3 linked regions of the Callithrix jacchus genome follow. The protein of the gene in region 2 purifies or fractionates together with the protein of the main gene of each other region. This does not show direct contact. Links are inferred from orthologs where the notes say so. Each region holds a gene or a part of one and is shown on either strand. Other genes may lie near its edges.

Region 1 (4,208 bases), on a different chromosome or scaffold from region 2:
TCTTTTGAGATTTGTGTCTTCCTAAAATATTTTTCAATTTGTTTCTAGCCTTCTCAATATACAAGAATTTTAACTTAAATTTGGGAGTTTTAGCTCTGTGACTTTTAGTTCAATTAATTTTCTTCTGTGTCCATTTAAAAAATAAGAAAATATGCCTAGCTCTACTATATTTCCTGGTGTCCTAGTAAAGATTAAATGAGATGATACACATGAAAGTGTTTTGACCCCCAGATTAGAGGTTGCAAAATCAAATTAAAACTGTGCTTTGTTGATCTATGTAAAAAAGAAATTTAACTGAATTAGTTTTCACAAGCAGAATTTATATAAAAATCTAGATTTTCAACTTTTCTTGAAAAATTAAATCATCTAGGAAAATACTATTTGCATTTATATGACAAAAATTGTTTGGGGTTGAGTAACAACTGTCCCCTTGAAATAGGGCAAGGAGCCTTCAGTTTGTCAAAGTCCTCAGCAATCCTTATTGCTTCCCAATACAGAGGCAGAATATCTGCTGCCATGTTTTAATTTATATCTGCCTTGCATGTCATTTGTCTAGTTCATATGGTCATTTAAGGCTTGCAACTCTCATGAAGGTTTTCTTTTTATTCTTGGCTCTAGCTCCCAAACTGACTGATAGACCAGTTGATCTACTTATTAATCTATCATCTGTCATTTATTCTTTTTCAACATTATTCTGGAATATTAATATAAAAAGGAAGAAAATGGCATCTACTAATGTGAATTTAATATCTAATACAATACAGCATCAAGTACTACTTTTACTTTTATCTACTGTTTAGTTTTTAAATAAAAGTGACCTTGGCTGGGTGCAGTGGCTCATGCCTGTAATCTTAGCACTTTGGGAGGCTAAGAAGGTGGGCAGATCACTTGAGGTCAGAAGTTTGAGACCAGCCTGGCCAACATGGTGAAACCCTGTCTCTACTAAAAATAGAAAAATTAGCTGGGTGTGGTGCGTGCGCCTGTAATCCCAGCTACTCGGGAGGCTGGGCAGGAGAATTGCTTGAACCCAGGAGGCGGGGGTTTCAGCGAGTGGAGATGTGCCACTGCACTCCAGCCTGGGCAATAGAGCAAGACTTAGTCCCCCCCCAAAATAATAACAACAATAATAATAAATAAAAGTGAACTGAAAGGAGTGTTTCTCTGTAGTAAATGCTTTTTCTACACCTACAGATTTTATTCATACTTTATCATTTTTTAGGACTCACCTCATAAGCAGCACCCAGATCCTGGAATTTCTCCTGGGCTTGTGGATCATCAGGGTTCCGGTCAGGATGAAGCTGCAGGGCCAGTTTCCTATAGGCTTTTTTAATGTCCTTTATAGAGGCACTTCGAGGCACCCCCAAGATCTTATAGAAATCTCGCCTGGGAAGTAGAGGGAGAGAATACTTCATTAAAGAGTTATCTGTTAGATTTTTAAAAGCAAAAAAAATTTTTCCCCTACATTTGGGTTTGTATCCGAGCAAAGAAATACAAAAATGGGTTATGCGACACATACACACACAAAGTATGACTAAAAAGACAACACCAGAATTTGTAATGAATATTATATATTGATGTAATCACAGTAAGAGGCTACATACTTCTTTTTAGATTATTCAAAACATCTGTGGAACTCTTCTTTTAGAGCCACCTTCAATCAAGAAAACCGCTTCCTTATTTTACGGTCTCATGTTATTTTTAGGCAATAATCATATAGTCAAATGAACTCTTCCTCCCTTTCCCTATACTGGCTCCAAATGACTTTTGACTTTTCTAAAAGTCAAATAACATTCTCAAAGGATGACTTTCCTTATTTAAAAAGATTATGCCACTTAAATGTTCTAACAGTAGCACTGCCAGAACTTTAAAGATGAAGCAACCGAAGATAATACATAGCTCAAGAAGCTGGGAAGTACAAGGGCTCTCCAAGGGTCTTCTTGCTCCCCTCCCCCATCCGATTTTGTTCAGTTCCAACTCGATCTGGCATTATCCACCCACTTTAATGTCGGCCCCCCAGTGACTCGTTGCAGGCTTGGCATAGAGTATCATCCGCTTCTCCAGCTCAGCGGGGCACAGCAACCCACCTCTTCGATCAAACAAAACGTCCATCCCCCCAACCTCAGCCTGACACTGTCATTACCTTGCCATACAGTCAGTCACCCCTCTTTCTTCCCCAGCTCTACGTGACACTGCTTCAGCTCACAACCACCTTCTTGCCCTCAAACTCTCCTCATCCCCCAAATGCCATTTGGCAATTCATCCAACTCCCACTCCTCTGGGCAAATCTAGCTCTACCTAAGGCCCTCTCTAGACGTAAAGCCCTCTCACTGGTGTCACCCACGGTTCTCCTCTCACCCCACTAGCCAGGCCCATACTACCCCTTCCTCAGTCATCCCGTCACCCCACAGCGATGCCCCTCTCCACTCCCTCAGTCTGGCAATGCCACATCCCCCACTCCCTCCCACCCCCAGCAAAGGCTGACCCACCGGCCCCGTGTCTACTCCTCACCCGGCAATCACGGCCCCGATGAGGTACAGCAGCAACAGGCAAAAGGTGCTCAGGTTCTGCGGAGCCATGGTTCCTCTGTCCCGGGTCGTGTACCACACACTCCTCACAGCCTCCTCCTCCGCCGCCGCAGCCGCGTCGGCTCGCCAGCCCACCCGGCCCTGGGAGGCCGCCTCACACCGGAGGGCGCGGGGGGGTGGGTCTCCTCCTTGGTCCGAAGAGACAGCTAGCTAGCCCCGTCCTCTACCAGTCCACTTCCCGGGAGTCCCGAGTCCCAGTGAGAGAAGTCCCCAGCAGGCGAGAGCCAATCGTTGCCCCGGACATCACACGCGGCCGGCGCCTGGAAGCCAATCAGCGCAGTACACTTCACCTCCGAGGCGGCAAGGGCAGCCAGTTAGGCTTCAGAATTGCAGTCGCAGCTCCCGACCAATTAGAAGAAGAGATGTCAGAGGATTGCGCCGCTGCAGGAACCGGCTCTGCCCGAGCTACCCCGAGTCGTAGAAAATTACGTAAGTAGGGGGCGGGGTCGACCGAGGGGGCCCCCTGAGGTACAAGAAATCCCCTCCGGCTCGCCTACTTCCTCGGGCTTCTCACCAATCAGGAGGCTCCTCCCCAGCACTGACCAATTGCGGGAGAAAAGTTTTCTCTCTGTTACAAGTATGGAATTTCATTCATATCCAGCTTCGCGCCGAAAGCGGGAGCAGAGGTATAGCGGCAGAATGGGCCGGTACAGTTATTCCACGACTGCTGTACATCGGACGCATTGCTTCGGACTCTTATTTTACGTTCTCCAAGCAACTCCTTAAGGCAACCGTCTCGGAAAGCCGACCGTGACGATAGGATTAAGCTTCCACCACTTAGAGGTGAGACTCCCCTATCCCTCTTCTCCTCCCGAGTCTGAGCCTAAGTTTTTTTTATCAGCAAAACTAAGGCAAAGTACTTATTGGCAGTGCTGTTTTTTACAGGGAATTTTTACAGGGAAAAAATATCTGTAAATCGTTGGGCACATGGTAAGCAGGCAATGAATAAAAACCATTATTACAGTTCAAGCAGTTGATTCCCCCTCTTCCCCGAATTTTACTCATCACAGTTACACAACACCTAGTTGATCAGGACAAAACTCTCGGTGTTTTTATTCCTTTCATGTATAAGCTATCCAAATCTTTACCCCTGAACTATACTTGAATCTGTCCACTATATCTCCATTACGGGGTCTCTGGATCACAGAGTATCTCTCACCTGGCCAGGGTCTCCTAACTGTTCTGTCTGCCCCTACTCTTAATATCTTCCTTAATACCTTAATAGATGTTGCTCATCCTGTCCCCCACTCCATAATTAAAAAAAAAAAAAGACCGGTAATCTCAGCACACTGGGAGACCGAGGCAGGCGGATCACCTGAGGTCAGGAGCTCAAGACCAGCCTGACCAAAATGATGAAGCCCTGTCTCACTAAAAATACAAAAATTAGCTGAGTGTGGTGGCGGGCGCCTGTAATCCCAGCTACTCGGGAGACTGAGGCAGGAGAATCCCTTGAATTTGGGAGGTGGAGGTTGCAGTGAGTGGAGATCGCACCACTGCACTCCAGTCTGGGCAACAGTTAGACTCCATTTCAAAATAAAATAAATAAAAATAAAAGTCAAATCATGTCACTCCCCTGCTTAAAATCCTGGAATGACTCTTCCTTTGCATTTAGAATAAAATCCC
Region 2 (3,500 bases):
ACAGAGTGTGCCAGTATGAGACTACATGGGCCTGAAAGCCTTATTCTAAAAATAAGGCTATCATTGTAACTTTAAATTTTTATAAATTATAACCTCTGCAACCCAAACTACTAGATTGGAAAATGGAAAATGAAGTACATTGCTGTAAAAACTAAATAAATATCAAATAACCATAAAAATCTACCAAACAACTATTGAGATGGGAATCATGACCCAGACTTGTTGAAAGTCATGGCTCTATTTTCCTAAGTCACGGGGCTAAAATAAAAGGAGTGACTCTCAGACGCTATGGTAGCTATATGGAAATGGCAGTTGCTGGGTATTTTCCATTTTACTATCAGCTTCTCTTTGGTAAACTGCGGTTCTGGTTCCAGAGGGGCACACCCTAAAGGGAACAAGAGAGGCTGGTTAGCAGGACACAAGCCTCCTATTCTTGAGGAAGTAGTAATGTTTTCGTAAGTATTACTTTGATGCCATGTTTCAGAAATTTGCATATAAGAAAACAGAAAATTTCTCTAGGATATGCTGTAATTTTCTGGGATAGTCAGATCTTTAATTCCAAATATTTCCAGAGATGATATTTTCCTCGTTGTTCTGAGGCATGTGAAATGTTGAGCAGTAAAATGTATACAGTTGGCAGTACTTACAACTTATGAATCACTTAAACCTTCTGATTCTTATCCAGTCTATTCATTTGGGTTTTCTGCTCTCAGTCTGCATTGGATACCCAATTAAATTCTTCCCTTCCTTTACCATTATTCTTTGGATATTAACTGTCTATGATCAGTCTTTCTAAACTCATATTTTAAAACATTTCAATTTCCCTTCCTTTGCATCAGTTCTATTTCCTCTGATTTCCTACTGCTTTACCTTCTCGTTCAATATGGATATGGAACCCATCAAAAGCAGTGGGTGGTTTGGGTGGTAACCAGGTCAATATCATTTGCACAGGGAAAAAGGAGAAAGAGCCCGACGTTGACTTCTCTGTCTCACTGAGCGTACTGTTATTTTCGTATTCCATGGGAAGTACACTGACAAATTCATCTTCACTTTCAGGAGCTGCAGATGCACTGTCCCACCAATAGGGCTGGGATGTAGTTTCATAGTCACGGCTGTTAAAATCAGGCCAACCGGAAGAATTGTTGCCGGAGGGAATTTCAGGGGTTTCTTCTGTGAAATGGAAGAGTTTTTCTTTTTCTGTTGTGTCTTGCGATCTCATGAAGGATTCCTCTGGGAAATTCCCACTCTGTTCTTCCCAGCTGTTTTTGTTCAAGTTTACGATACGAACAGAAATATTTTGAGGTGGATAAGGGGCTGTAAGAGAGAGAATTTTCATTTTCAAGTAATTTTTAGTTCAATTATAGTGAATACTTAATCTCTTCATGAGTCAGGTACACAAGCAGATTTTTAAAAATGGAATTTAATTTTATTTCTAATACGTAGACAAATTTACATGAAGATAAAGTGTGTCTTTTTCCATATACATACTTCTAAAATTTTGTGGACGATGTGTACCTATTAATATATCACTTCAGATATATTAACTTGCAATATTATGCTTGTTGAAGTGGTAATTTAACCACTTCTAAAAGCAGAGTATGTAAATATTTTTCAGTTTATCATAATCTCAATTACAAAAAATGAATCTCTGTTTCTGGATTTTTGTTACAAAAAGAAAAAACAAGTATAGTGTATTTACAGCTATCAAGGTGAAAATACTTCATGTGACACAGTTGCACTTAGAATAGTTGCATACATGTGTTGCCCTTAGAGATGTTAACACTCATGTTAAAAATATGACCTCTCCAAAATGACACATATGAGCACAAAACGAATTTATAAATTATGGGAGCACACTTTACTTATGGAGAAAAATTATGAAGACACACTGCATAGTCTTTGCCTGTAACAATTTCTTTTTTTTTTTTTTTGGGATGGAGTTTCGCTCTTGTTACCCAGGCTGGAGGGCAATGGCGCCATCTCGGCTCACCGCAACCTCCGCCTCCTGGGTTCAGGCAATTCTCCTGCCTCAGCCTCCCGAGTAGCTGGGATTACAGGCACGCGCCACCATGCCCAGCTAATTTTTTGTATTTTTAGTAGAGACGGGGTTTCACCATGTTGACCAGGATGGTCTCGATCTCTTGACCTCGTGATCCACCTGCCTCGGTCTCCCAAAGTGCTGGGATTACAGGGCCTGTAACAATTTCTACTTGTCCTTCATTAGCAGTTCAATTATCACCTCTTTCACGAACTTCCTTTTGTTTTTTTTTTTGAGGTGAAGTTTTGCTCTTTTTGCCCAGGCTGGAGTGCAATGGCATGGTCTCGGCTGACTGCAACCTCTGCCTCCTGGGTTCAAGTGATTCTCCTGCCTCAGCCTCCCAAGTAGCTGAGATTATATACTCCTGCCAGCACACCCAGCCAATTTTTGTATTTTTAGTAGAGACAGGGTTTCACCATGTTGGTCAGGCTGGTCTCGAACTCCTGATCTTAGGTGATCCACCCACCTCGGCCTCCCAAAGTGCAGGGATTACAGGCATGAGCCACTGCGCCTGTCCACATGAGCTTCTAATAAAATTTATCTCTTTCCTGTGTATTGTTAAATCACTGTGTACCTCTTTTACAATATTTATCTCAGTCTGCCTTGTATGACAGCCATTTGTGTGGTACTTGTACCATTTTTTTAGGACAAAGACCCTATCTCATCAGTCTTATCTTCATCTCTCAATATTTAGAACAACTTCCAAGTAGAATGTATTCAATTAATGTTTTTACTTCTTACCTGGAATAATGAAAAACACAAATAGAATCTTAAATGTTGACATTAGGTGAATTCGTGATTTAGCTGAAACAGTTTCCTGGTCTTGGACTAATGAATAAGAATGATGACAGCTTAGAATTTCAAACTGCCAAGGCTTTAGAAGTAATCTATCATAATCCCTTCCTGAGACTCACAAGAATGGCCTCTCCAGCATTCCTATTGAGTACTCAGTCACATTAGGCACATACAGTGTTGCTTATTTTTGTGATGGGTACTTATTAATAATGCTTATTTTATCCATCCATTCTTCCATTCTTCCATCCATCCATCCATCCTACAATAGTGCTTCATATTAGTGATGCTACAAAAATTAAATACTGCAAGTTTTAGATACATTTGAATTTCAATATCTTCCTTTAATAATCTGATAATGTGTATGTCTTCTCTCTCTTTTTCTGCCATAGGGCCAATTGTCCGCAATAACTGATGTCTACCAGATCCAGGTGAGTTACTTAATTATAACCTTTGGTAATATCATGTAGCTTTTTATTCAAATATTACAAATCTATGATTGCATTGACATGTTTTAGATTTTTCTTATTGAATATTTTGGTCAGTTCTTTTTACACTGATAGAAAATTATTTTAGGTTATTAAACATATATATTTTCTTTCTTTGGTCTGGATCAGAATATTTGTTAGGATAAAAAATAAATATGCAGCAAAATATAATTGAATTAGCT
Region 3 (3,881 bases), on a different chromosome or scaffold from region 2:
AGACCTTGTCTCCACTAGCACAATTTTTAAAATTAGCCAGGCATGGTGGCACAAGCTTGTAGTCCCAGCTACTTGGGAGGCTGAGGTGGGAAAATCACTTGAGCCCAGGCTGCAGTGAGCTACAATCATTGCCACTGCACTCCAGCCTGGATGATACACCAAGACCCTGTCTCATCAGAAATAATAATTATTTGGGCATGGTGGTATGTGCCTGCAGTCCCAGCTACTCAGGAGGCTGAATTGGAAAGATCACTTGAGCCCAGGAGTTCAAGTTTACAGTAAGCCATGATCATGCCACTGCACTCCAGATTGGGCAACAGAGTGAGACCATCTCTAAAAAAGCAAAACCCCCCCAAAAAACCCCAACAACAACAATAAAGGGTTTGGACAGGTTCAGCAGTTAGGCTGGGCTGGAGACAGGTTTTACACTGAGGGAGAGATGATCAGCTAGTCCTGGACTGGCACCTCCTGGTCATCCTCAGGTTCACAGTGAAACAGAATTATAGACCAACATTCTTTAATCACAAAGGCACTTGAGGACCCCTACAAACCCAAAGTCTCTGCCAAAAGTGGCCCTACAGATGTCCCACCTGCCACCCTCCATCCACCCATCCCCACACTCAGAGTTCGTCGTGACCTGCAGAGGGCTCCACACTAGGCTTGATGAAGATGCCTTCCATGGCCTTCCACGTATTGTACGTGTTGGCACTGGGCATGCCGTGGACCTCATGCTGCCCACGGATGGGGCTTCCGTACTGCTCACCCGTGACCGACAGGAACACAGAGGTGCCCACGTGCTGGAAGCGCACAGCGGCCTCACGCTCCCAGTGCTGTCCAGAGCAGCGGACTGTCCATAGGTCGAGGTCATCACCCTCGCCGTCTTCCCCAAAGGCACTCACCTCCTACAGGTGCAGAAGGTGAGGGGACAGCGGTCACCACAGAAGGCAGCATTCGTACCTAGTGCACTGAGCCTCAGGTCCTTCCCTGCCCTTCCCAGAGCCTCAGCTCCCACAGCTGCAAACGGTGACACCATGACCCCAGTCCCCCAACCTCGAGCACTCCCTCCCCACACGGGCTCTTCAGACACATACACACACCATTGCATCTGTCTGTGCAGAGACCACTGGCCCCCACGGAGCTGCCTCCTCCTCCATGTTCTCCCAGTCCTAACTTCTCTGATGCACCTTGGGATCAGCCTAAAATTCAGCCCTTCAGGCTAACAGTCAAGCTCTCTATCTCAACATTTTCTTCCACCAACTCCCCAAGGACACCCACTGTTCAATCTCAACCCCCTGAATTCCAATGACCTCCATGCATTGGCACAATCTCTTCTGCTGGCTTGGGCAGTCCCTCTTTTCCCTCTGTGGCTTGGAGGACATCTTTTCAGACCCAGCCTGAGTTTCTCCTCCCCTGTGGAGTTTCCTATTCCCCACCTTCAAGGGCTGTGTGGATTCCCCTCCTGGGTCCCACTTGCCCCCAGAGGAGTGATTTAGGCGGATCTCTCCGGATCTTTATTCCCGTGGGTCTCCTTGCCAGGCCGGGAGCACCTGGGGGCGGGACCCTGGCAGAGTTACTCTGTGTCCCCCGAGAGGGCGCTCAGTAACCATCTCTGAAGTGAAATTTCCATTTCACGAAGAAGCTGAGGCTCGCATTGGAGCCCACGGCGCTGTCTCCGGCGCCTCCCACAGGCCAGGAGTCTCTCTGGGGGCTCCGGGAGGGGCTCACCTGGTTGTTGGACAGCGGCGACGGAAAGTGGTGCGTGTGCAGGTTCTTGCCGGTGAGCACGTGCGTGAGCCGCACGGCCTGCCCGCAGCGCACCGGGGACCCGCGCGGGCACCCGCCCTCCGAGCCGCCGCGGATCCGCCAGTAGCTATTGGCGTCGTCGGATGACTCCACGCCGGTCACGGATTGCTGGCCGCTGCCTGAGGGGTGACACCCCACCCCACCCCACCCAGGGTCTCTGTCAATCCCGGAACCCCCGGATCCTCGCCCTGGGACCGTAACATTTCCCGGGGGACCCCAACATCTCGCCCCAGCCCCGGCCCCCGTCTGACACCCCCCTCAGTCTTTGGGCCCGCAGTTCCCCGACAGCTGTCCCCGCCCTCAATATCGTCGACACCCTCAAAGCCTTGCACCCCTCGATCCCCCAACGGCTCTAGAGCCCTCGCCTCCCGGCTCTGAGACGGGCCACAGACCCCCCACGACCACCCTGTCTCCACACTCCCGACCCCGAGCCCCCGTCCCTGGCGCTCTCCCAGTCGCGGGCCCCACGCACCGGATCCGTATTTGATGTCGTGCGAGTGCAGCCGCACCCGATGGTGCGTATTGAGCAGCTTCAGCACCGACCCGCAGGTCACGAGCCCCGCGCCGGTCTTGGCGGCACCACCGCCCGGCACTAAGAGCTCCAGTAGCAGCCCCAGCAGCACCGGCCCGGTAGCCCCGCCGCAGCCCGCGATCCACATCTCCCCGGCCAGGCTCCAGCCGCTCCGGCCTTTGGGCCGCTTCCGTCCCCACCGCGGCCCAATCCGGTTCTGACAGCGGCCGCTCGCGGCAGCCAATGGTCGGCCCGCGCGGTGCTCGGCTTGCAATGCCATTGGGTCGGCGCGCAGAAGGGCCGCCTCCAGCTCTCGAGAGGAGTAGCTGGGCGGGGACTAGAGACACGAGGAGGGCTTTGATTGGTCCACGCTTCCAATGTCTTACCAATGAGTGTCCAGGAAAGGGCGGCTAAGAAGCCAAGCGGCGGCAAGTGAGAGAGAGCAGTTAGTGAGGACGCCGACTCCAGCGGCCGCTCAGTCCCTGTACACCGGCTCAGGATCCTAGGGCTCTGCAGGCACGTGTTCACGACTCCCTTGGCCCTGGACTCTTGGGTCCTCAGTATTGAGTCTCTCCCTTCAGAACCTGGGCCCGCACGGGCAGGGTCTTGAGGTTGTTAGATCACTAAACTTTGTGGTTACAAAGTAAGAGTCACTGAATCGCCTGGTCCTTGAGTCCCCGGACCCCGAAATTAATGAAACCCAAGTCATTCGGCTCACTGAAACCTCTGCTTCCTGGGTTCAAGCGATTCTTCTGCCTCAGTCCTGTGAATAGCTGGGATTACAGGCATGTGCCACCTCACAGGGCTGAAGTTTGTATTTTTAATCGAGACGGGTTTCACCATGTTGGCCTGGCTGGTCTTGAATTGTGACCTCAGGTGGGCAGATCACCTGAGGTTAGGACCTCAAGACCAGCCTAACATAGTGAAATCCCATCTCTACTTTAGTACAAAATACAAAAATTAGCTGAGTGTGGTGGCACGCACCTGAAGTGTCAGCTACTCAGGAGGCTGAGGCAGGAGAACTGCTTGAGCCAAGGAGGTGGAGGTTGCAATGGGCCAATATTGTGCCATTGCGTTCCAGCCTGGGCAACAGGAGTGAAACCCTGTCTTTAAAAAAAAAAAAAAAAAAAAAAGGCCGGGCGCGGTGGTTCACGCCTATAATCCCAGCACTTTGGGAGGCCAAGGCGGGTGGATCACAAGGTCAAGAGATCGAGACCATCCTGGTCAAAATGGTGAAACCCTGTCTCTACTAAAAATACAAAAAATTAGCGGGGCACGGTGGCACGTGCCTGTAATCCCAGCTACTCAGGAGGCTGAGGCAGGAGAATTGCCTGAACCCAGGAGGCGGAGGTTGTGGTGAGCTGAGATCATGCCATTGCACTCCAGCCTGGGTAACAAGAGCTGAACTCCGTCTCAAAAAAAAAAAAAAAAAAGTGGGCTGGGGTCTGTGACTCATGTCTGTTAATTCCAGCACTTTGGGAGGCCGAGGCAGCTGGATCACAAGGTCGAGAGTTCGAGACCATCCTGGTCAATATAGTGAAACCCTGTCTCTACTAAAAATGTAAAA

The links. The genes of interacting proteins can lie anywhere in the genome.
Region 1: the proteins of PTPRO (region 2) and DNAJB11 purify together in Homo sapiens (affinity purification with mass spectrometry; 3 studies listed by BioGRID and IntAct, with this or other methods). This does not show direct contact. The link is inferred for Callithrix jacchus from reciprocal best matches to the Homo sapiens genes PTPRO and DNAJB11.
Region 3: the proteins of PTPRO (region 2) and SDF2L1 purify together in Homo sapiens (affinity purification with mass spectrometry; 3 studies listed by BioGRID and IntAct, with this or other methods). This does not show direct contact. The link is inferred for Callithrix jacchus from reciprocal best matches to the Homo sapiens genes PTPRO and SDF2L1.

Annotation. Positions count from the first base shown.
Region 1 is NC_133516.1:15,553,799-15,558,006, reverse strand, and holds the start of DNAJB11 (dnaJ homolog subfamily B member 11), read right to left. Parts: upstream 2,801-4,208; 5' UTR 2,577-2,800; coding exon 2,509-2,576; intron 1,384-2,508; coding exon 1,227-1,383; intron 1-1,226. UniProt on the Homo sapiens protein: As a co-chaperone for HSPA5 it is required for proper folding, trafficking or degradation of proteins.
Region 2 is NC_133510.1:7,817,273-7,820,772, forward strand, and holds part of PTPRO (receptor-type tyrosine-protein phosphatase O), read right to left. Parts: intron 1,315-3,500; coding exon 871-1,314; intron 1-870.
Region 3 is NC_133502.1:193,604,615-193,608,495, reverse strand, and holds SDF2L1 (stromal cell-derived factor 2-like protein 1), read right to left. Parts: upstream 2,469-3,881; 5' UTR 2,463-2,468; coding exon 2,276-2,462; intron 1,923-2,275; coding exon 1,726-1,922; intron 903-1,725; coding exon 621-902; 3' UTR 501-620; downstream 1-500.